Linked DNA regions of Callithrix jacchus. The protein of the gene in region 2 interacts with the protein of the main gene of each other region in a pairwise test. Links are inferred from orthologs where the notes say so. Each region holds a gene or a part of one and is shown on either strand. Other genes may lie near its edges. The genes, in order: SH2D4A, GOLGA2, CCNH, FAM50B, TCF19, SCEL and SH3RF2.

Evidence for each region.
Region 1: the proteins of GOLGA2 (region 2) and SH2D4A interact in binary tests that used the Homo sapiens proteins (3 or more experiments, as listed by UniProt). The two-hybrid records come from large-scale screens. The link is inferred for Callithrix jacchus from reciprocal best matches to the Homo sapiens genes GOLGA2 and SH2D4A.
Region 3: the proteins of GOLGA2 (region 2) and CCNH interact in binary tests that used the Homo sapiens proteins (3 or more experiments, as listed by UniProt). The link is inferred for Callithrix jacchus from reciprocal best matches to the Homo sapiens genes GOLGA2 and CCNH.
Region 4: the proteins of GOLGA2 (region 2) and FAM50B interact in binary tests that used the Homo sapiens proteins (3 or more experiments, as listed by UniProt). The two-hybrid records come from large-scale screens. The link is inferred for Callithrix jacchus from reciprocal best matches to the Homo sapiens genes GOLGA2 and FAM50B.
Region 5: the proteins of GOLGA2 (region 2) and TCF19 interact in binary tests that used the Homo sapiens proteins (3 or more experiments, as listed by UniProt). The two-hybrid records come from large-scale screens. The link is inferred for Callithrix jacchus from reciprocal best matches to the Homo sapiens genes GOLGA2 and TCF19.
Region 6: the proteins of GOLGA2 (region 2) and SCEL interact in binary tests that used the Homo sapiens proteins (3 or more experiments, as listed by UniProt). The two-hybrid records come from large-scale screens. The link is inferred for Callithrix jacchus from reciprocal best matches to the Homo sapiens genes GOLGA2 and SCEL.
Region 7: the proteins of GOLGA2 (region 2) and SH3RF2 interact in binary tests that used the Homo sapiens proteins (3 or more experiments, as listed by UniProt). The two-hybrid records come from large-scale screens. The link is inferred for Callithrix jacchus from reciprocal best matches to the Homo sapiens genes GOLGA2 and SH3RF2.

Annotation. Positions count from the first base shown.
Region 1 is NC_133514.1:22,141,152-22,144,651, reverse strand, and holds part of SH2D4A (SH2 domain-containing protein 4A), read left to right. Parts: intron 1-2,062; coding exon 2,063-2,273; intron 2,274-3,500. UniProt on the Homo sapiens protein: Inhibits estrogen-induced cell proliferation by competing with PLCG for binding to ESR1, blocking the effect of estrogen on PLCG and repressing estrogen-induced proliferation. May play a role in T-cell development and function.
Region 2 is NC_133502.1:176,865,833-176,868,507, reverse strand, and holds part of GOLGA2 (golgin subfamily A member 2), read left to right. Parts: coding exon 1-313; intron 314-579; coding exon 580-693; intron 694-1,341; coding exon 1,342-1,587; intron 1,588-1,666; coding exon 1,667-1,742; intron 1,743-2,178; coding exon 2,179-2,270; intron 2,271-2,526; coding exon 2,527-2,675. UniProt on the Homo sapiens protein: Peripheral membrane component of the cis-Golgi stack that acts as a membrane skeleton that maintains the structure of the Golgi apparatus, and as a vesicle thether that facilitates vesicle fusion to the Golgi membrane.
Region 3 is NC_133503.1:123,459,594-123,463,832, forward strand, and holds the start of CCNH (cyclin-H), read left to right. Parts: upstream 1-1,439; 5' UTR 1,440-1,583; coding exon 1,584-1,700; intron 1,701-3,004; coding exon 3,005-3,127; intron 3,128-4,239. UniProt on the Homo sapiens protein: Regulates CDK7, the catalytic subunit of the CDK-activating kinase (CAK) enzymatic complex. CAK activates the cyclin-associated kinases CDK1, CDK2, CDK4 and CDK6 by threonine phosphorylation.
Region 4 is NC_133505.1:26,814,544-26,818,592, reverse strand, and holds the start of FAM50B (protein FAM50B), read left to right. Parts: upstream 1-1,249; 5' UTR 1,250-1,309; intron 1,310-4,049.
Region 5 is NC_133505.1:35,984,761-35,987,559, forward strand, and holds the end of TCF19 (transcription factor 19), read left to right. Parts: coding exon 1-235; intron 236-669; coding exon 670-916; 3' UTR 917-2,299; downstream 2,300-2,799. UniProt on the Homo sapiens protein: Potential transcription factor that may play a role in the regulation of genes involved in cell cycle G1/S transition. May bind to regulatory elements of genes, including the promoter of the transcription factor FOXO1.
Region 6 is NC_133502.1:37,700,917-37,704,416, reverse strand, and holds part of SCEL (sciellin), read left to right. Parts: intron 1-323; coding exon 324-383; intron 384-1,724; coding exon 1,725-1,784; intron 1,785-3,500. UniProt on the Homo sapiens protein: May function in the assembly or regulation of proteins in the cornified envelope. The LIM domain may be involved in homotypic or heterotypic associations and may function to localize sciellin to the cornified envelope.
Region 7 is NC_133503.1:44,494,051-44,497,550, forward strand, and holds part of SH3RF2 (E3 ubiquitin-protein ligase SH3RF2), read left to right. Parts: intron 1-1,531; coding exon 1,532-1,801; intron 1,802-3,500. UniProt on the Homo sapiens protein: Has E3 ubiquitin-protein ligase activity. Acts as an anti-apoptotic regulator of the JNK pathway by ubiquitinating and promoting the degradation of SH3RF1, a scaffold protein that is required for pro-apoptotic JNK activation.

The DNA.
Region 1 (3,500 bases), on a different chromosome or scaffold from region 2:
GAAAACTTACAGGATAAGAAGAAGCCCATGGCAGAGCAGAGGATGCTCCAGAATGCTAGAAGAATTAGGTTTGAGAAAGAAGTAGTGTTTCAGTCTGACTCAGAGAAGTCTGAACTGCTGGATCATCCTGAGGCAGCTTGAGGAAGAACACAGGTGTGGCTGCATTTGCAGGATGTTGCGATCCTAAATTGATCTGCAATCCCATTACAGCCAATGCCATTTAAATGACAATGTCTGTGAAATAAAAATATTCGCAAGATCCAGTGGCCTCTTTGTACTATGCAGTGAAATCCTAGTATAAGGGAATATTTTGGGTATCTCTTTGAAGTCAAACATAACAGGATTTGACCAATAATGCCTGAAGAGTAAATATACTCAATAAAAATTACTTTTTCATTCTGCATTAGAGTCTCATTGCTACAACAAAAAACTGTTTTGCAAAGTAGTCATGTGCTGTATAATGATGTTTTGGCCAACGATGGGTTGTATATATTTTTTAGGCCAAGTGCTGTGACTCCCTCCTGTAATCTCAGCCTTTTGGGAGGCTAAGCTGGGTCGATCACTTGAGGTCGCAAGTTCCAGACCAGCCTAGCCATCGTGGTGAAGCCGCATCTCTACTAAAAATACAAAAACTAGCTGGGTGTGGTGGGGCACACCTGTAGTCCGAGCTACTAAGGAGGCGGAGGCAGGAAAATCGCTTGAACCTGGGAGGTAGAGGTTGCAGTGAGCCAAGATCATACTACTGTGCTTCAGCTTGGGCAACAGATTGAGATTCAGTCTCAAAAAAAAAAAAAAAAAAAAAAAGACACAAAATAATAGGTTGCATATATTTTTAAAATAAAGATATTTTTAATACATTTTATTAATGTAGTATAGCCCAAGTATAAAGTGTTTATAAAGTCTACATTCATGTATAGTAATGTCCTAGGCCTTAGCATTCATTGAGCACTCACTCACTGACTCAACCCAGAGCATCTTCCAGTCCTGGTAAGTACCCTATATAGCTGCATCATTTTTTTGTCCTCTATACTATATTTTTACTATACCTTTGCTACGTTGGGGGTAGTTTTTTCATTTTTTATTTTTTGAGATGGAGTTTCTGCTCTTGTTCCCCAGGCTGGAGTGCAATGGCGTGATCTCGGCTCACTGCAACCTCTGCCTCCTGCTTTCAAGAGATTCTCCTGCTTCAGCCTCCTGAATAGCTGGAATTAGAGGCGACTGCTACCATGCCTGGCTAACTTTTTGTACTTTTAGTAGAGTCAGGGTTTTGCCATGTTGGCCAGGCTGGTCTCAAACTCCTGACCTCAGGTGATCCATGTGCCTTGACTTCCCAAAGTGCTGGGATTACAGGCATGAGCCACTGTGCCCAGCCTTATATTGGGGGTGTTTAGATACACAAATACTTTTGGGTTACATTCGCCTCAGGACGCATTTCTCAGAACATGTTCCTGTCATTAAGTGATGAGTGACTATAATTTTAAAAGGCAGGCTTGGGGTACTTCTTCGTGTTCTAATGTGTTCTACAGTTATCTGTGGTTAAGCATCTCTTTAATTTTTTTATCTGTTGGGCTCATTCTCATTCTATCCCACTTCCTGCTCCTTCACCCTATGCACAGCCCCATGCCACTGAATAGTCCAGATCTTTGCTAGCAAGTCAGGCACACTGCATCTGAACATGAGTCTATGCAGGAAGTGACAAGTGCCTCTTATTACTCAGCACCCTTGCCACTTTGAACCCTTGCTCAGGCAGGGACTCCTCTGATCTTATCAACTGCAGGAAATTCTTGCACACTTTTGATACTTCTCTCATCCCTTCTTCCTCCTCTTCCTTTTCTCTCCCTCTCAGAAAATCCCCAAACTCCCATATGAAGAGAGGAATCCTGCGGTGAACGCTGGGCAAGTCCTAATGACCTGGATCATAGGTGTTGATAATGAGTGTTCCTCATTATAAGCAGATCACAAACTGCTGGTAACCTGCGCTGCTGCCTGTTGTGCAATGCTGAGCCTTCTCACCTGCTCTGGGGGCTGATGAGGATGTTCTCCAACCCTGTTGTTTTTCTAGTGCGAAAATCCAAAGCAGCTGATGAGAAGAGACGCTCCTTGGCTAAACAAGCACGAGAAGACTACAAGAGGTTATCGCTCGGGGCCCAGAAAGGAAGAGGCGGTGAGAGGTTGCAAAGCCCCCTGCATGCTCCGCAGAAACCAAAAAGACCTCCCCTTCCACCGAAGCCTCAGTTCCTAAACCCAGGAGCGTATCCTCCAAAACCTCTTAGGTAAGAAGCCAAACAAATAGATGGCTTTAGGCCTAAGCATTGCAATGGGCTTTGAGTAAGCATTGAAATTAGGATGAATTGTATGAGCTGCCATAGGGTGTGGGAGGTCAACTGGCAGCCTGTGTAAGCTCAGGCTGACGTCTACGCCTTCTTCCTGGGTTATCTGGTCGGGCGCTCCTCCCCTTCTTAGCTGTCAAACATCCGTAGGTGTTATATTTAGCATACCCAGTGAAATAGTAAAGCCGTGCATGGAGTTAGAGAACTTCCTGTGTCCCCACCCCACTCTCCCCTTTTCCACCCAGAGGCAGCTGGCAAGCCAGTGAGGGGAGAAGAGGAAGCAAGGGGGGATTTCACTGATGCCCAAGGTCACCCTTAGTCAATGACAATCAAAGTAGGAACCCAAAGGCTTGCTGACTTTCATGTCATTAGTAAGACTACGTTTTCACTGCCAAGGATTGAAGGTTTGATGTAATTCTCATTCTGGGACACATAGCTGTTGGAAACAGATGCTTGGTGCTGCAAAGAAAAATAGCACTGAGACAATGGATCTCTCAGCAAAGCAATTTTTACTTTTTTACTTCCTGTACTGCAGAAAGGGTACCCTCACTAGCCTTCTTGCCACGAGAGTACAATGAACAAAGGAAAGCAGACATATTTATCTCTTATGCATTTGTGGTTGTCTTTACTGCTGTGTCTGATCTCTGTTGGTTGGAGCCAGACTTCACAATCCAAACTAAAACTGGATTGGCTAACAACTGAAAACTTTTTTAAACAGGTAAGGGGCATAGGCTACCAGCTGGGACATGCCTGTGAGCACATCTAGCACAGATATCTTAAAATACAAGGACATAGAATATACTACATTCCTATAAGCATGTCTAACAGGTACATAGGATAGGGCTTAATAAAGGGTTATTAGCAAACTTATTCTCTAACAGGAAAGGAAACTTTAGAGGGACTTTTCCACTTCCCACAATAGCCAAGTTTATCTTTCGAAAATTTGGAAAGGCTCCTTTTTTTTTTTTTTTTTTTTAAATGAATTGTCTATTTGGTGGTGGTGATGCTATTGTCTCTTAGGCTGTGGAAGAATTAGGAAGAACCATTTGTTCTGGAAAATCTCTGCAGAATAGTGCAGTGATGCTATTACAGAAACCCCCATCCCTTATGTTTGCTGATTATAAATTTTTTTTCTGGTTATTGATCTTATTTTATTTTTAACATCCTAGG
Region 2 (2,675 bases):
AGCAGGGCCCTCCGAGGTAGAGCAGCAGCTACAGGCGGAGGCTGAGCACCTTCGGAAGGAGCTGGAGAGTCTGGCAGGACAGCTCCAAGCCCAGGTGCAAGACAATGAGGGCTTGAGTCGCCTGAACCGGGAGCAGGAGGAGAGGCTGCTGGAGCTGGAGCGGGCAGCTGAACTCTGGGGGGAGCAGGCGGAGGCTCGCAGGCAAATCCTGGAGACCATGCAGAATGACCGCACCACCATCAGCCGAGCGCTCTCCCAGAACCGCGAACTCAAGGAGCAGCTGGCCGAGCTGCAGAGCGGATTCGTAAAGCTGGTGTGTGGCCCTACCTGGGGAGCCTGCTCTTCTCCCTAGCCCTCTGGCCCTTTGTTTTCCCACCTGTAAAATGGGGCAGTGTAGCCCTCACATGAAATGGTACTTCTGAAGTCACCTATGAGCCGAGCCCTGCTCTGATGGCTGTCGGGGAGAGGGGATGATTTTTCTAACCTGCCTCCACCCTTCCTGGTTCCATGGGAGGCAGACGCCAAATTCTGAGGTCTCCAGCTGCAGTGGGTGACCACTGATTGCTTCTCCCTGTCCAGACTAATGAGAACATGGAGATCACCAGTGCACTGCAGTCGGAGCAGCACGTCAAAAAGGAGCTGGGAAAAAAACTGGGCGAGCTGCAGGAGAAGCTGAGCGAGCTGAAGGAGACGGTAACCCCACCCCATCCAAGAAGGGCTGGGAGGCAGGCACCAGCCTCTGGGGAGGGGAGGTGTGAGGCCAGAAGCAGCTCCAGCCTGGGGGACAGGTGACCCCAGCACCCTCCAGGGAAGTCCTGTGACTGTTTCTTGCTTCCTGCTCCCAGACTTTTAGAAGTGGATAGTCCTGTGCTCCTCTCAGGTCTGGACATCATCATTCCAGCTAGAGGCATGGAGCCCCCAGTCATAGGGAAAGAAAGTGGGATAAGAGGCTTCTTAGATTCAAACTGGATTCCGACCTCTCCTCCACTGGTCACCATTCAACTACATTGCATCTCTAAGTCTCGGTTTCTTTAACTTGAAAAGGAAGTTCATTAAATGAGATATTACGTGGATAGTGTTAGGCATGTAGCACACTTAGCAGATGGTGGTTGACTCCCTCTGTGTTTCCACCAGTCTGTGGCCTACAGTATGAATGGTGGGAACAAGGGTGTGAGATTTGAGGCTGGGGAAGGAGGCAAGGTAGGCAGTCATTTAGGCCTGAAGCACGGGGCCAGGGGTCTGGGCATGCAACAGCCCCAGCGTGCCCTTGCTACCCTATTTATGGGCCCAGAATCTGGAAGTCAGCCACCACCTGCCCTCATGCCCAGGATCTTCCTGCAGGTGGAGCTGAAGAGCCAAGAGGCTCAGAGTCTGCAGCAGCAGCGAGACCAGTACCTGGGACACCTGCAGCAGTACGTGGCCGCCTATCAGCAGCAGGTGGCCGCCTGTCAGCAGCTGACCTCTGAGAAGGAGGCACTGCACAACCAGTTGCTGCTGCAGACCCAGCTCGTGGACCAGCTGCAGCAGCAGGAAGCTCAGGGCAAAGCGGTGGCTGACATGGCCAGCCAAGAGTTGCAGGAAACCCAGGTGAGGGAGTTGCTGAGGGCAGGGCCCTGAGCGACTTGGCAACCTCTGTGCCTTCTCACTCTCTTTCCTGGCCCCTTAGGAGCGCCTGGAAGCTGTCAGCCAGCAGAACCAGCAGCTAAGAGCCCAGTTGAGCCTCATAGCTCTCCCTGGGGAAGGTACGGGAACCTGCTCCCAGGAAGAGGAGAGAGCCCTAGGAGGAATCGGGGACTGTCAGCAGCGTAGGATTGAGGAGTTGGAAGAGACTTTTAGAACAGCGGGTCATTATGCTCACCGGCTGTCCACACTAAGTTGGGCACCAATATAGTGACTTCCTGGGAGCAGGGGACTACCAGGTTGCTTAAGGATGGGTGAACTGGCCCAGGTCAGAAATGGCATGGGTTAGAATTCCTGTGCTGATGGGTAGTGGGGCTGCACCTGGGCAACATAGCGAGCCCTTGGCTCTTCAAAAGGAATAAAATAAAAATGAAGGACAGCTGCTCATTCCCTCTGGGGAGGGGCTGGCTCAGGGTTACACAGTGAGGGTGGGGGCAGAGGTGGGCCCACTGTACCCTTGTTAGGTTGTCTGATGACCCCTCTGGCCACCCCCAATAGGAGATGGACTGGACAGGGAGAACGAGGAGGAGGAGGAGGCGCCTTGGCCCATGCCGAGCATCCCAGAGGACCTGGAGAGCCGGGAGGCCATGGTGAGGCTGACTCCTCCTGCCCCACCTTTGCTGCCTCCCTTTGTGGTCCCTCCCAGACCCCCTTCTTCTCTTGGTTTCCTGGTATTCTGAGTTCTCTGGACCCTCACCCCTTCCCTGGGAGCCAGTGATCAGACACTATGTCACCTGTGACCAACAGGTGATGCCTCTGAGGCCCTAGGGGAACGGCTGCTCTCCTCTTCCCTGCCTTGTTTGTCCTGTGTATCCCCATCCAAGTGTGCACCTCTCTTGCCTGCAGGTGGCATTTTTCAACTCGGCTGTAGCCAGTGCCGAGGAGGAGCAGGCAAAGCTACGTGGGCAGCTGAAGGAGCAAAGGGTGCGCTGCCGGCACCTGGCTCACCTGCTGGCCTCCGCCCAGGAGCCTGAGGCGGCAGCCCCACCCCCAGG
Region 3 (4,239 bases), on a different chromosome or scaffold from region 2:
AAACAAAATGAAAAGGATTTATATGATATATATATAACTGTTATGAGTCTAAGACTTTGTATAGACATTTAATTATCTAGATCACTTATTTTCCTACGTTTTGTACCATTATTTTTTTCTTTTATTCTTCTCCCAATATGCAACATTTTAGGTTGTTCACAATTCATTGTAATCAATTTGCCATGCCCTTCAATCTTCTCTTTTTCTCATTTCTTAGCCAATTTACAAGTCCAGATTAGCCACATATGTTGAGTGTGTGGATCTCCAAAATTATAAACTACAAATGGCATAAGTTTGAGGAATTCAAATAACTGTCCAAACTCTATCCTCAACTGCATTCAACAAAAATGAAAGAGAAAAGACTCCCTTTCTTTAGGCTCTAAAAACATTTTCGTAGAAAGCAGACTTAAAGTCGTCCTGCCACTTCTTTTACCTTTTTACCTTTTAGGCTCTTCAAGACCTAAATTCTCCAGGCCTCATCATCTTTCTCTTTCTTTCTTTTTTGGAAATCCATTTTGGATATATAATAAATATGTGGAGGAATAAGGTATGCCTAAATGTGACAAACCAGAATCAATGTATATTTTGAATCTCACCTGCAATTTTGAAAGTCCTATTAATTTAAAAAATTGTAAATATCTTAATATTCATGATAGCTTACCGTAAGTCTCCCTAGAGGCAATGAAAATGGGAATCTCAAGAAAACTAAAACCACCATACATCTTGGCTTCAGAGACGAAAACGGGGGAAGAGGATTGGCTAGTTATCAACAGAAGGGTAAGGAAAAAAAAGTACAGAGAAAGAATAGACAAGGTCACAAAAGTGGCAGAACTCTAAGGGCCAATACATATCCACTGCTTCAAGTTTTTCAGCCATGCTCCATTCTCTGAGATTTTTGGTAGAGCTTCAAGAACACTGGTCTCCAAAGTCTTCCTGACAAGCTCTAGGAATGCTTCTGCATGAAGATCTTACCTATTTTTCTGGGTCCCATGATCTCCCTACATGATTGATCAACCTACTATTTCAACTCTTTCAAGCCTTTGCACAAATGTCAACTTCAGTGAGGCCTCTATTTAAAAACTGACACCCTACCAAGTCCTTTCCTCATTTCTGATTACTCCCTGTGAATTTACAACAGCCTACTCCATAACAATCATGATAGACTGTGTGAATATGCTCACAGTTGGGATGTATTATTTATAAATTAAAAAAGTAGATTATGTCCTAGCTTATGTCCCCTTTGAACACTCTTCGCCAGGCACTTCTCCTTTAAATCCTGAGTGGAAGGGGCGGAGCTATGTCCCAGGCTCCCTAAGAGGAGCTTTCCGTAGGCTCCGCCCACTACGCCTCAGTGAGCGCCCCAAAGAACCCTAGATATGGTCTCTTCCTAGTCCGTTCCGGAAATGCGACTGCGTACGGGCTCGCCACGTGATCGTGACGTCAGCGCGCCGGCGCGGGCGCCGGCTGGCCGGACGCCCAAGGCTTCCGCGACATTTTCGGTGGGTGAAAGGCCGCTTTACGCCACGGTGTTGCTGCGTTTGGGTTCTCTTCTGCAGGCTCTCTGCACCTGGTCACGATTCACAATGTACCACAATAGTAGCCAGAAGCGGCACTGGACTTTCTCCGGTGAAGAGCAGCTGGCAAGATTGCGGGCCGACGCCAACCGCAAATTCAGATGCAAAGCAGTGGCCAACGGGAAGGTGAGGTTCTCAACGGTTGCCCGTTTGCCCTGGTCTCTAAATTCTAAGCAGCTGCGGGGGCTCTTCTGGCTCCCAGGACAATCTCATTCCCTCAATTCTCTGTCTCCACGGCGCGGAATGCGCTTATCTATTTAAACAGGCGAGCACCTTGCCAGTTCCGTGGGTGCAAAGACGAACAACGCCGTCCCCGTAGTAGAATGGCAGACAAGTCTTTGTAACGTGGCGAAGGAGAGACTAAGTAGTGTGCTAAGGTAGTGCCTGGCAAGAGCCGTTCACTTGTCAAACGGTGATGTCGGGGAACATTTTACCCAGTAGCTAATGCGGAGAAAATGGGGAAAGGACATTCTAGGCAGTCAGAGCTACCGTGCAGAGTGGGAGGGAGGTCGGAAATTACAGAACTGGTGCCTGGACGTGTTTGTGGTCGTATATGGTCGAGGTTGAGTACCTGTGCAGGAATTGCTTGGGAGGGTAGGAAGAGAACTTGTAAGTGGAAGTGAGGCGTTTAAAATTTCTACTGAAAGGATGAGGAACCTTTGAAATACTTAAAATGGGAAACTAACCTTATCAGATTTCCGTTCTAGAAACCGCTCTGGCAACCTCGTGGTGAATGGGTTGGATGAGGGAGGGAGACAGGAGACCGAGTACAAACCAACTGACTAAAGATGGTTTGGACTATGGCCCGCTATGTCCCTTCTGTTACGGCTCTCGGACTGGTAAAATCTTTCCTACGAGTTCCACTCCAGCAAGTGTTCAGCGCCTCCAAATTATTGATACAGAGTAATTTCGCTTTCTACTTTAATTCACATCTGTTTCAAATAACTGATTTTAGCACCTGAATTCGTTTCGTAAGGGCTGCCTTAAAATCACCACAAACTGGATAGCTTAAAATAACAAATTGAAACATTTGCCTTTTTTTTTTTTATACCTCGCTTGTGTGACATAATGACTTACTGAGAAACGGATGTTGAAACTTTCCAATCATTTTTTATTTAAGTGTATCTATTTTTTAATTTATAAATAATGACATCACAACTGTGAGCATATGCACACAGTCTATCATGATTGTATCTTGAAGCAGAGGTCTAGCTGACATTCCGAAATGTTGCGAAATGATGGTACAGTTTTAGTTTATTAAATATTTTCCTAAAGCTATTTTGTGTAATGATAGGGGAATCTATAAAGAGAAAATGAGGCGTGATGTATTTTCCTTCGTTGGAGATATAAACTAAATTTAATCTAGTTAGAGAAAAATATTTTACAGTTGTTTAATTCACTGAACTTGTGTTGTAATTGTTGACCTAAAGGTTCTTCCGAATGATCCAGTCTTTCTTGAGCCTCATGAAGAAATGACACTCTGTAAATACTATGAGAAAAGGTTACTGGAATTCTGTTCAGTGTTTAAGCCGGCAATGCCAAGGTCTGTTGTGGTAAGTTACGGTAGTGATGAAATATGATGTCCTTTAGTTGGCTTGTGAAATCTGACCTCTTCTAAATTTGTAGCTAAGTTCCCAGTCCATTTTAGTTTTAAAAATCACCTTTGTTACATTTAATTAGCTTTTGACACATTATATATTTTTCAATACAGGCCTTAAATCATGAATTGCTGTATCATCTCTTCCAACGTATTTCAAGTCTCATTTTGTAGTAAAAAAAAAAAAAAAAAAAAGAAAATTGAGGTCAGGTAATGGTATAAATAAAGAAAATTAACTTACTTTCCTCTAAGTTTTCAACTAGTGAGCCTTAGAACCAGAAATAGAACTAGACTACTGCTTTTCCAACTCTATGACACCCGGTAGATGTTTGAAATAATACATTCATTCATCATTTGTAATCATATGCTCCAGCTGAAACTGATGCCATAAGATTTTTTTTTTAAGCTTTGATTAGTAGAAGCTGGAGTTTTATCTTTGGTTAAAAAGATTGTCATATTGTTTCAGATGTATGATTCTGAGGACCTGTGGGTTTTTTTTGTTTGTTTGTTTGTTTTGCTGGGGTGCACAACAGTGAGGAGAAACAGGTAGCTGAGATTAAAAAGCTGAAAGATAAAAAAGTGTAATGGGGGAGTGTTAAAAATGTTTTTATGTTATTTTATCAGGTTTGTTGTGAAGACTAAATGTAAAAGTCTATTTTAAGTAAAAGTCTGTTAAGTTTTAAAGCTATATACAATGCGATTAGCTTCTAGGAAATTATCTCCATTTTTATTGTTGAAAAAACATTGAAGTATGTCGAAAATATTAAGTCATATAACTTATTTTTTTTTCCATATGAGATATCAAAGATTCAGAGAGTTTTAGGTGTACTCAGTTTCTGTCTTCAGATTTGGCTTATTCTTACAAAAGAATTGTAAAATGAGGCAGTAAATTTAAGTGATTTTATCAAATGAAGAAACCTTTAATAAACTTCTTTATGGAATTTATCTTTAAATAACATGTTTGTGATTGGTGAATAATTTTTTGTTTTAAATAATGACAAAACTAAACTTTTAAAATATTTAAAAGGAAATATTTTTTCTATCATAAAATAGATAAGTGGTTATTTT
Region 4 (4,049 bases), on a different chromosome or scaffold from region 2:
TCGTAGCTGGGGCTGTCAGCTGCATCCCCTAAACATAGCCCAGGCTTCCTCAAAGCATGGGGGCTGCAGAGAAGGCAGACTTACTTGATGAGTCAGGACACCAAAGATGAGTATTCCAGGGACCAACATAGCCACATCACCTTTTCTGAACTTGCATTCTGTTGGTTACAACCAAGTCACAATCCTGCCCAGATTCAGGAGAGGTAGCCCCATCTCTCAATGAGGGCAGTATCAAAGCATTTTGGGGGCCATGTTTTAACCACCACACAGATGAAAATATTGCCTGCCATCATGGTGTTGGGATGGCTTCCAGGAATATATCTAATTCAAAAAGCAATTCAAAGATCATTTCAAGGATATTTGTATTCCCTGAAATGTTATAGTTACACATGAAAAAAACTTAAAAGGTTTTCCTTGTATTTGACAAAAATTCTTAAATCTATGTCACTATCAGTCACGAATTGTTTTAGTCATGAATCTTCAAAGCTGAAACTTTTCTGAAATATTAACAATCAAAAATTGTTTTTCATCAGCCATGCTATAGGAAAGACTGACTTCTATCTCTCTACTCTCTGTAGAAATATCACGTCAGGTGTGGGGCTCACGCCCATAATCCCAGCACTTTGGGAGGCTGAGGCAGGCAGATCACAAGGTCAGGAGTTCAAGACCATCCTGGCCAACATGGTGAAACCCCGTCTCTACTAAAAATACAAAAATTAGATGGGTGTGGTGGTGTATGCCCGTAATCCCAGCTACTATTAAGGGTGAAGCAGGAGAATTGCTTGAACCTGGGAGATGGAAATTGCGGTGAGCTGAGATCACACCATTGCACTCCAGCCTGGGCAACAAGCGTGAAACTCCATCTCAAAAGAAAAGATCACAAAGGTGTTACCATATGGAGCAGACATGAGAAATGCACTGCCCAAAAAGTGGTGTTTCAGACTCTTGTGTAATCACATGAACATCTTTAATAAGATTCTGGGTACAAGAATTTAAGGTGGTAATTAGTCTCAAGAAATAAAAATAGAAATGATCATCTTGGGCATCAGCAGTCCAGGAAAACTTCACGGAAGTTGAAAGAAATGGAATTTCAGTAGAGCGAATGGAGGCTGGGGACAGGACCGACCCAACTGGTCAGCGCATATTGGCAGTTACACCTGATGTCAGTTCTGATTGGCTCCGTCTCCACGCTCATTGGTTAGTGCTCCACAGCAGTTGGTAAATGTTTTGCATATCATCCCTGCCTGTTAGAGTGGACAATATTAGCAAAGGCACCGAGGAGGAATAATCTTGGCCTGTTTATCAAACGGTAAGGAAATTTCACTGGCTTGAGTCCAGCTGGAGGCAGTTACGGGAAGTACAGCTGTTTAACTAGAGTAAAGCCAATTGTGAAGCATGTTGAATGTCAAGCGAAGGAATTCGTACATATTCCTGGAAGCAGTGGGGGAGTAATGAACCTTTCAGTAAAATAATAACGACTTTAAAAACTAATTTTAGAAAGATTACTTCAGTAGTTGAATGAGGAGAAACTAGGAACACCTTTTTAGAAGGTGGCTGTGATATTCCAAGGAAGAACTATCAGACATGAACTAACTAAAGAGGAATTTGGGCTTGTATGTGTATCACTTTCCTAAATCGAGTTCTGTATTAGTAGCTTATTTTGGGGGTTTATTTTTTGAGATGGAGTTTCGGTCTTGTTGCCCAGGCTGGAGTGCAATTATGCGATCCCAGCTCACCGCCACCTCCGCCTCCTGGGTTCAAGCAATTCTCCTGCCTCCGCCTCCTGAGTAACTGGGGCTACAGGCAATGATTTCCTCATGTTCATCAGGCTGATCTTGAACTCCCGGCCTCAGATGATCCTCCCGCCTCAGCCTCCCAAAGTGCTGGGATTACAGGCATGAGCCACCACGCCTGGCCTGTATTATTAGCTTATAATGGATCATATAGGGAGACCAATCATGCTCGACTTAAAATGTTCTCGTCCCCTCTCCTTCCAGCCACTGCTACAGTGAGCAGTTCTATCCAACCAGCTTCACGTAGCAGTACGCTGAGCATGCCTCTTCTCACTGCCCGTCCCTGGATTCTCAGATGCAGTGGCTGGCTGGGGTGTGCCATGTGAGTCCTATGAAGGAACCGTCTTCCACTGGGGATGGGAGCTCTCGAATCAATGCTTCCCCTGTTCTCCTCACCCCACAGTTCTGAGACACACTCCAGAGAGCTTGCAAAAGCTGCTGTGATGGTCAGGCATGGCGGCTTATGCCTGTAATCCCAGCACTTTAGGAGTCCAAGGCGGGCAGATCTCCTGAGGTCAGGAGTTCGGAATCAGTCTGACCAACATGGAGAAGCCCTGTCTCTACTAAAAATACAAAATTAGCCGGGCATGGTGGTGCATGCCTGTAATCCTAGCTACTCAGGAGGCTGGGGCAAGAGAATCACTTGAACCTGGGAGGCAGAGGTTGCAGTAAGCCGAGATCACACCCTTGCACTCTAGCCTGGGCAACAAGAGCAAAACCCCGTCTCTCTCTCTCTCTCTCTTTCTCTCTCTCTCTCTCTCTCTCTCACACACACACACACACACACACACACACACACACACACACACAAGGCTGCTGTGGGACCCAGCAATCACTTGTAGGCATGGCTGCCTAGATTGAATTGGATTTTCTCCCCAGCCTCCTACCCCATCCACTCTCCACCAACCCTGCTTCCTGCTCCCTGTGGTCCCATTCCCAACTAAACCACTCACGCATAAACCTTGAACCTATGCTTTTCTTTGGGGGAACCCAGGCTAAGAACAGGATCCTCCAATTCTTTGGTGCACCATAGTGGAAACTCACATGCCGCTCTGCCCACAGTAGCAGCATCACATCCTCACGACTCACCCTTGTGTTGAATAGCTAGTATCTCCTTTGACCTTTTTAACTTTTTTTTTTTCCTGAGGCAGAGTCTCACTCTGTTTCACTCAGGCTGGAGTGCAGTGGCGCATGATCTTGGCTCACTGCAACCTCTGCCTCCCGGGTTCAAACGATTCTCCTGTCTCAGCTCCTGAGTAGCTGGGACCACAAGCATGTGCCACCATACCAGGATAATTTTGTATTTTTAGTAGAGACAGGGTTTCACCATGTTGGCCAGGCTGGTCTCAAACTCCTGGCCGCAGGTGATTCTCCTGCCTCAGCCTCCCAAAGTGCTGGGATTACAGGCATGAGCCACTGCACCCAGCATCCTTTTTAATTTTTAAAAACAAGTGTGTAGTACTGACTCAGTCCCATATACTCAGCAGTATTTTAAGCCAGTAGAGTGGTAATTTAGGATACTGGTAAGAGCAGAGAATTTAGAATCATAAGATCTAGATTTGATCCTTGCTACCAACTGGATGAATGACCAAGGGTAGGACATACAGCTCTTGGAGTCTTCAGTATCTTCATCTGTAAGACAGGTGTGTTAGTAGCTATCGACCTTCAGTGTTCTTGTATCAAGGAGGACCGAGTGTGTGTGATGAGCAGTTGCTAATTTCAGCACTCAGCTTCCATTTCCCCTTCCTGTTGGTTATGCGATCCCGATTTTTGTTTGGATGGCTATCACCTTTCCCCAGTGCATCCTACGTTTTACCACCATTCTCCTCTCGACCCCCAGCTTTAGGGTAGGCCCTAATGGTCTCAGTCTAAAGGAACTATTCATCATTTCCCTAGCTATGATGATTTTAAAAAGCAATGAGAAATGTACTGACAGATCTGGTCACCATTCTGAAAGAGCAATCAACTAAGAGAGCATGCAGCTCTGACAATTGCTGGAAATCATCGTGTGGCCCTAAGGAGTGCGAGCCTAAAGATGCAGCAGAAAGAGGGATGGTGAGATTACTGAACTTTTGAGTCAAGTCACATCCAAAGCTCATGTGACCTCTGATCTTTTCAAATAAATGAGTTATTAAATATTTTATTTAAACCAGTGTAAGTCAGGCTTTCTCTTATCTGGGACGGAAAGACTCTCAACTGCTAGAGTATACAAGCAAGTTTTGTAACTTGCAAATCACGATAAAACATTTTTAAAAT
Region 5 (2,799 bases), on a different chromosome or scaffold from region 2:
CCCAGCCCCTCACCTTCTCCCCTAGGGGGGGTAGACCAAAGATCTTGCCTGTTTCCGCCCCACCTGGGGAAGTGGGTATCATACCTTCTGCTCCACCCCCACGCAATCGGAGGAAATCTGCTCACCAAGTGTTAGCAGAACTGGATGAGAGTGAGCCTCCTGAGAGCCCACCACCAGTCCTTATGGAGCCCAGGAAGAAACTCCGTGTAGACAAAGCCCCTCTGACTCCCACTGGGTAAGTAGAGACCTCACTTGGCTCTCATAGTATTTTACTGCCTTTTGATTCCTTTTATCCCTAGGCTGGGAGGTGGAATAGATGAAGTGGCAAGACCTGGGTTAGCTCTGATAAGAAAAGCAAAATATGTGCAGGAGAAAATGAGAGGTGGGTGGGGCAATGGTTATAACAGCTGGAGTGGGCACATCCTACTTTTTACATTCATCTAGCTTTAACCCCATTCTTCTAGTGCCTAAGGATGGGGAACTTCCAGGCTCACACTAGAGGTTTTTAGACCCACCCTATGTGTTTTTAAAGACAGGGTCTAGACTAACCTTAGTCCTCAGACCACTGTGCCTCTGTGGACTCACCCTATGACCAGCCATAGGGTGGCAAAGTCTAGGTCGTCTCCTACAGTTTTCCAGTGACTCTTGTATTTGTGTTACTTCCTTCAGAAATCGATGTGGCCATCCTCGTCCTTGGAAGTACCCAGCGAGTGCCCCCATGGCTCCAACTGCTGTTGGGGGCGGGGAGCCCTGTGCAGCTCCTTGTTGCTGCCTGCCCCAGGAAGAGACAGTGGCCTGGGTTCAGTGTGATGGCTGTGACCTCTGGTTCCATGTGGTCTGTGTTGGCTGCAGCATCCAGGCTGCAAGGGAGGCTGACTTTCGATGCCCAGGGTGCTGTGCTGGCATCCAAACCTAAGGTCAACCATGAAGGCACCCTCGGACACAGCTGCCCATCAGTAGACAGCAGTGAGCAAATGTGTCTGATAAATGCCCCGGTCCCTTCCCAGGATGGAATGATTACAGGGACGAAGGGTGGATTGATGTGACTCATTCAGGGCCTGGAGCAGAGCCTGGTGGCCAAGGTGACAAAGAAATGGCTTCCTGCCAAAGATATTGCCACCTCCAGGAAATTGCCAGTGACCTGGAAGTTCCCACTGCTACAAGCTACAAGACCATGTTGCCATGGACACCAAAATATCTGTAGTCAGAGCACTGAACAGTTGCAAAAGCCATGCCTGCAACTGATGGAAAACTAAGGGAGTTCAAAAAAAATTATCTTTCCTGCCGTAAGAGGGAGTTCTTTTGTTTTTTGAGATGGAGTTTTGCTAATTACCCAGGCTGGAGTGCAATGGCGCAATATCAGCTCATGGCAACCTCCGCCTCCTGGGTTCAGGCAATTCTCCTGCCTCAGCCTCCTGAGTAGCTGGGATTACAGGCACATGCCACCGTGCCCAGCTAATTTTTTTGTATTTTTAGTAGAGACGGGGTTTTACCATGTTGACCAGGATGGTCTCGATCTCTTGACCTCGTGATCCACCCTGCTCAGCCTCCCAAAGTGTTGGGATTACAGGCGTGAGCCACCGCGCCCGGCAAGAGGGAGTTCTTAAGGTTCTTGGTGGCATCACCTAAGGCATTCTGGGAAAACCTAGAGCCTGGCCCCAAAACTTCCCTACTCTGTGGCTAGTCTTGCCACTGACTAAATCATAAGGACTGGGCTTTTCAGAGCTTTGCTTTTATTTCCAAGTCAAGGACAAGCAGCTTCATTCCTGGGTATTTACTCTTCTTGTGGGTCTGTGGTATTCCTTGCTTTCCAGGGAGAATGCACTTGGCAAGGTCTGGAGAACTAATTCAGAATCTTAGTGGAAGGGGAGTAGATAGGAACAGCCAAATTCAAACCTGCTTATTGGAAAGGTACAAATATATGGGCTGAGCGGGAGGTAGGAATACAGGTAATTTTCTAGTTTTCCCTTAAACAGACCTACTGCCATTTAAATAAGGTAGCCAGGATTTGGTCAAGTTCACAAAGATAGCAGAAGTTTTACAGGCTTCACCCTTACCATCAGGGCAAGAGAAAGCCTGGTAAACCAGCTATAGCAGTTTACCAGCATGATTGTTGTGACAGCTCCACTCCATGGGTGGACACAGCAGAGGGCAAGTGGGCTGGCCTGGTCCAGTATGAATCCAACTGCTTACCCCACACGTGGTACACGTGATTTTCCTTTGTGAGCCTTACACCAAGCCAAGCTATTGTCAAAGCATCATTTGTACAGAAATAAAGCCTTATGTATTTGGTGAGTCACTTATGGGCAGGGTATGCAAAAACCTTAAGTGGAAACCAGATAGACCCTGGTACCAAGAAAGCACAAAATATTAATAGAAGTTTCCAGTTGGGGTGATTTAGGTACAACAGAAATAAGACTTGATTATAAGTATAAAGCCATTTAAGAATTCCAGAGTAGGGTGGGGAAAGCAAAAAGCCAGCTCTGAGCCGTAACAGCTACATGGTGATGAATATGGGCAAAAGTGTGGTGTCCAGATCCCATGTCACAGGCTTCCATGAACTAGCTATAAAGGGATCCTATGCAGATAAACTTGGCTCCAATCCTAGCTCTTCCTCTGACATTGTGTGACCTCAAGGAGTTTAAATGGCATCTTGGTTTTAGGGTCACTTGGGTATGAGCATTGGATATTCCCATCCCCACCTCAGTAACTAAAGGAGGCCAAACCAAGATAAATGTGTCTATCTACTGTGTCCCAGGCTTCTTTATTTAAGAAAAAAGTGATACATGTGGGGATTAA
Region 6 (3,500 bases), about 140 Mb from region 2:
TTTCTCTCATATTAATTAAGCGATATTGAGGGCATCGCATCTTTATGTTTGGCTTCTCTCTTCTGTGTCTAATCCCTGGTGCCCTGATTTTCACTTCAAAGAGTCTACAGTGTATTCCATCTAAATATACATTTACATATAGCCCAATAAAATCCTAAGGATTAAACTATATTATTGATAGGCAATTTTTATACTAAAAGTGAATTTAATATCAGTATAATAATTGTCTCCAGAAGCTTGAATTAATCATTGGGAATATGGAGGAAGTGTGTGTCTAATATTATAGGAATGTTTTGAAACTGATACACTTTTTTTTTTTAAAGAAGTGAAAACCTTGATAATGCTATCAAAGTGAATCCCAAAGGAAATGAAAATGCCACTGGGTAAGAATAATTAATGTCTTTGATTATGATTTCTTTAAGTGTCAATCCATCAGAAGATAAAACAATTTGGCTTTTTAGCTGTATAACCATATTTTATTAGCATGGAATTAGACAATAAATATAGGCCACTGGACCATCCCTCCTTGCCCTCAATAAAACTGTGAACTTCTGAAGCATTGTCTTAATGTTTGATAGTAAACAAACTTTTCTCCCAGATTTTGGGCTTTGATTTGTCTTCAGGGGTAAGGGACTGAATTGAATTTCTTTGTGCCTATAAGAATGCACAGTTGTGACAAAATTTTCAAAGTGTATTTCCAAAATGACAAAGACGGCCAGGAGTGAGCCATCACTGAAGCTCTGGTAATTCAAATTCTCTAAGGATGGTGGTCTCAGGAGGTGGTCAAGGCAGGGCTGAGGCGGCACACACAGGTGGAGTGAGGACCTCCTACCACTTTGTTCCCTGTTCAGAGCTGTGTAGACATGGTGGTGGCACCCAATCACAGTGCTTCTGTTGTCCCCTCCTGTCCCTTTTAGATTCTGCTTCTGCCTTTTTTGGTATCAAAGTATTTTAATAGCGTGGCCTGTGTGATTCACTCCCACTGGGGAGTGAATCAGTAATTTTTGGTATGTGGTATTAAACGAAATGCTGTTGTGGAAATTAATAAAGGTAAGTTAAGGATAATTTACATCAAAGGGCTTTCTGATTTGGTCCTGAAAACACCTGACACATGGTAATGTGAGCTGTTTATTTCTTGCCCATTTTTGCTCACCAAAATTCATTTTGAAGAAAATGATATTTAAAATGGGTTGGGTTAGGTAGATAGCTGAGTTTATATGAAAACATACATTCTTATTCTCTTTATTAATATTGTTAAATGATTTTTATTATTAAATTATGATTCTCAACATTATTCCTAATACTTAGAAACAGAATAGGTGATCGTATTCCATTTGTTGAGTAGACATTTATACTGTCTGGGTCCAGTGTAGAACTTAATCTAACTTAATGTTATTTCAATGCTGCCTGTTTGGATACAAGATATATCTAACAAGATGTGTCTGAAGGCAAAGTTGATTTTGTTAAACAACAAGTTTTGCATATACTTATGCATTCTGAGAACAAAACAAAAATCACATTTATTACTAACAAATAAGCAACCTTAAATGGTCTTCAGCTCAAGATGTAAGAGAATAATTTTCATTTGCATTTGGAGCTTTAAAACTTTACGTAGATATATGAAACCTGTAGATTTACCTCTTCTTAATTTTTCCAGCCATTATTCATCTGATTAGTGCTTTATTTTTAGCATTATTCATTAAAATTCATTTTCTCATTCAAAGAAAACAAGATCTGGACTGGCTTATTAAAGTGGATCCTGAAACAAATAAAAATATTAGGAGGTAAGGCATTTTAAGTTCCCCCTTCCCTTTGTTTGGCATTTACAAGCTCATTAGAATTCTGAATGTTGATATTCAGGTCAGTAAATTGGAATTCAAGCCAAAACAAACTGAGCTCTTTTCTCTAAACACTTTATATTAAGTAATTCTGTACAAGTGATACACCTGAATCTTCTTCATTTTGTTCTTGGGTGAAGTTTGTTAGCAAATAATTTTAAGAAACTAAATGGGAATTTTGGCTGACCTTCTCTACTGAACTAAATGATTTATTTCTTTGTATGCGAGTGTGAGTACATGTGTGTATAAATGTATGTGCGTAAATATATAGTGTGTTTATATATAAGTGCATGTATGTATGTGTAAGTGTATAATAAATATATATATGTAGATATAAGTAGTGTGTGTGTTTGAGTGTATGTGTGTGTGTATCAGTGGTATGTGGGTTTAAGTACATGTGTGTATAGATGTGTGTATAAGTGTATGTGTGTGTATGTATAAGTGCATGTGCAGATGTGTATATGTATGAACTACATGTGCATGTGTGGTGTATTTGTGTGTAGTGTGTGTATGTGCATGTAGTATGTGTGTATTTAAAGATGAAGAGCTTAACAAAGTGTGCTTTGTTCCTACTCATGAGTTGTCGAGTATGTCTAGAGAACTTATGTCTTCTTGTTTTTTATTTTTTATAAGGCAGATGGAATATTTTTGAAACTGAGTTTGTTGGCATGTTGCTGGAAACAGTGTACCACATAATTTCATGTGGTTTCCCTTGAATTCTTTTCCATTTCATTAGCTAAGTACATGATATTATTTGTCAATCCAAAAATGTGTCATGGATGCCTGCAGCCCAGTTGGCAAGGGAAGGGCTCAGCTAGTTGAAAAGCTGTGGTGCCCACTGTCACGCCTGCCCTGCTTGTGTAGGTGTGGCATGGTCAGAGGCACAGCAACCCAGTGAACTGGAGGCTTGCACAAGCTTGCAATCAGTAGATGGAGAAGAAAGCATTGATGTCCTTCAGTTCCTGGGTGGTTCAGGGAGGTAACCTGAGGTAGTGAATGTGAGCAGGGAATCTAAAAAACCTAGGTTCATATTCTGGCTCTGTCACTTGCTAACTGTGTCTCTGTGCCTCAATGTACTCATTTACAAAAGAGGAATCATAAAATTCTCATGCCTGGCACATAGTAGATACAAGTAATTATTGCAATAATAAGGATTCAGGTAAGTTATATTTCCTTCATAATTTAGTGTTCAAATGTCAAATTTTAACTTTCCAAGAAAAATCTGTTTTCTTGGAAATGTTTTCTAATTTTTGTTAAAAATAATATTTCCGGCCGGGTGCGGTGGCTCACACCTGTAGTCCCAAAACTTTGGGAGGCCGAGGCAGGTGGATCATGAGGTCAAGAGATCAAGACCATCCTGATCAACATGGTGTGAAACCCCGTCTCTACTAAAAATACAAAAAATTATCTGGGCATGGTGTTGTGTGCCTGTAATCCCAGCTACTCAGGAGGCTGAGGCAGGAGAATTGCCTGAACCCAGGAGGCGGAGGTTGCGGTGAGCTGAGATTGCACCATTGCACTCCAGCCTGGGTAACAAGAGTGAAACTCTGTCGCAAAAAAAAAAAAAAATTTCCAATCAGGACTTATTTTCTTCATATGTTGGTGTGTGTATATGTGGGCATCCCTCTGCTCATGTGTATATGCATGCAAACAGATGTTTTT
Region 7 (3,500 bases), on a different chromosome or scaffold from region 2:
CCAAACAGTATTAAATGACTGACGAGGAGACATAGGTAGAAATATTAGCTTGCATTTGATGACCTATAAGGGCATTTATTTTTTTTAAATGAGGATATGAACTCCAATGAGACTAAAATCTGAAAATGCATATATGTATGTATAAAGACATACATACTTATATGTATAAATGTATTTCTGCTCTACCTTTCCCAAATTAATGTTACTTAAATTAGAATGGTGTGTGGGAAGATGTGTTTCCCTCTGGTTTTTGTTGTTGTTGCTGCTGTTTTGTTTTGTTTTCCATGTCCTACAGCTGGAATAAAATATCCATGTTTTATGGGAAAAAATACTATGCAGGTATACCCCAGATAGTGTAGGTTCAGTCCCAGACCACTACAATAATGCTAATGCCGTAATAAAGCAAGTCAAACAATTTTTTTACTTCCCGGTGCATATAAAAGTTGTTTACATTACACTGTAGTCTACTGAGTGTGCAATAGCATTATGCCTAAAAAAGTATATCTAACTTAATTTAAAATACTTTACTACTAACAAAAAGTTAATGATGATTTGAGCCTTCAGCACGTTGCCATCTTCTTGCTGGTGGTGGGTCTTGCCTCAATATTGATGGTTTGCGGCTTCACCTTGCATTTTTAAGTTATAGAGACAGCTTCTTTTCTTTAACCTCAAACAATCTCAGCTAGCTTCAAACTTTTCTTCTGCAGCTTCCACACCTCTCTCAGCCTTCATAGAATTAAAGAAAGTTAGGCTCTTGATCTGAATTAGGCTTTGGCTTAAGTGTATGTTGTGGCTGGTTTGATCTTCTACCCAACGAGTCAAACTTCCTCCATATTAGCAATAAGGTTGTTTCACTTTCTTATCATTTATGTGTTCACCGCGGTAGCACTTCTAATTTCCTTCAAGAACTTTTCCTTTGCATTCACAACTTGGCTGTTTGTCACAAGAGGCCTAGCTTTTGGCCTATCTCAGCTTCAGTCATGCCTTCTTCACTAAGATTAATCATTTCTGGCTTTTGATTTAAAGTGAGAGATGTGCAACTCTTCCTTTTACTTGAAAATGTGTAGGCCATTTTAGGGTTATTAATTGGCCTCATTTTAGTATTTTTGTGTCTCAGAGAATAGGGAGGCCCAAGGAGAGGGAGTGAGATGGCAGAATGGCCAGTTGGTGGAGCAGTCAGAACACAAACATTTATTGACAAAGTTTGCTGTCTTGTATGGGCAGTTTGTGGCACCCACCCCTCAACTCAGGCATTATAATACTAACATCAAAGATCACTGATTACAGATCACCATAGCAGGTATAATAATAATGAAACAAAGTCAGCACGTGGTGTTGGAACAATTGCACGAATAGACTTTTTCAGCACAGGTTGCTATAAATTTTGATTTGTAAAAAGCTCAATATTTGCAAAGCATGTTAAAGCAAAGTATAACAAAAGAGGGAATGCTTGTATCTTCTGTTCCTCTAGACTCTAAGCTAAGTAGATATTTGAGCTAAGTATGTATTTTATTGGTCTGTGCCATTGCAGGTGCCTCGAGCCAAGGCCTTATGCAACTACAGAGGGCAGAGTCCTGGTGACCTAAGGTTTAATAAGGGAGATGTCATTCTTCTCCGGAGACAGCTTGATGAGAATTGGTACCAGGGGGAAATCAATGGCATCAGCGGGATCTTCCCAGCCAGCTCTGTGGAAGTCATCAAGCAGCTGCCCCAGCCACCCCCACTCTGCAGGGCCCTCTACAACTTCGACCTACGAGGCAAGGACAAGAGAGAGAACCAGGATTGCCTCACCTTCCTCAAGGTAGGATTCTGGGTGGCCACCACAGTCAGCTGGGACCACATAGAGACCATAGCAGAACCAGAGTTGCTTGTTTAACATTTGCTGATTTTAAAAAATTATATATTAAATATATTATATTATTGTTCATATTTATTCTTTTATGCATAAATTATATTTTAAGCATAAATTATATTTTATGCATAAATTACATATGTAATATGTGTGTACAATTCAAACTAAATGCAAGTAAAATCTCTACAGAAATCTACAAATAAGCGATAGAAATCTGTGAGCCTTTTTTATTGTAATTACAAAAGTATACACTCATTCACTCATTCATTCATTCTATCACTTTTGAGCACTTACTCTTTGCAGGTCCTGGGAATAGGACATGAATAAGTCACAGTCTTTGCTCTCCTGGCATAGTAATGGGAAGAACAGATACGTGAACAGAAAATCACAAACAATTTGATAACATGCTATGTAAAACCATGCCCCTACCTCTTAATCATGTATGTGGAAGGGTATTCTTGCTGACCAAGTTATGCTTACCTAATTCTACTCATTTACAACATTCTATGTTGTTGTAAACATCACATTCAAAACACTGCAGACACACATAACAACATAATCATGCCTTTCTACATAAATAATCTCTTACGAGACATACTTTTCAAACATTAATTACCCTAAGATTTCTTGTGCCTCTGTTTTTCATTAGATGATTCCCCACCATTTGCAAGTAATGACAGTTCTACTAAAGTCTACACTACTTTAACTCTCCGTATTCAGTATTTGTTATTCCATAGACATTCACATCTCTCATAGAAACCACAGTTGGAATTATTTTCATTCTTCACTACTGGTGATAAGTCGATCAAATATAAGTATAGAAAGAGGCACTGTTACAATACTTTAGCCAAAGTCTTTTGTTTTGCAAAATATTTTTATTCCACCACTACCAGAAAGGAGATTTACTTCAGGTTTCCTCAAACTAGACAACCTCCCTGTCCTCCACATTTTGAGATAACGACGTTTATTATTTCCTTGGGACCTCAGAGTGAGACTCCTAAGGAAGGTCATTCTACAGCCCAAACAGCAAAGTTTAGATGTAGACTACAGTTAGAGGAAGGTCAGTTCAATCCCGCAAATATGTAGTGAGTAATTATTTTGTGCCAGGCATTAGACACACAGCTGGAGGAAGACATAAGCAGGGAGTATCATCGTCTGCCTCTCTGACCCTTTCTGGGAATTTGCAAACTGGGACATTTACTCTACATGCTTATTCATTTTTTGAGCCCATCCATGTGCCAAGCTGGCCATTGGAGATAAAGTGATGAGTCATTGTCCTTACCTTCACAGAGTGGGCAATCTAGTGGAAGAAACACACTTATAAATGGGAAATTATGATAAAGAAACCGGAAAAAAGATTTGACCCATTCTGGAAGGCTGTGGAATACAGAGACTTCTAGGAAATCTCATGGTCTAAACTCAGCACATCCAAATTAAACTCGAGATATTCTTTCCCAAAGTTGTTCTTTTCCTAGTGCTTTCTAGCTCAGTAAATTATATAATTTATTCAACTTCATGTATTTATTTATGCATGGATGCATTCAGGAAATATCTGTTGCCTGACTACTAAAGGGAAGCCACTGCATTAGGTGCTAGGGACAGCAAAGATTAACAAAGCAGACACATGGAGTTTGGCCCTGCATACATG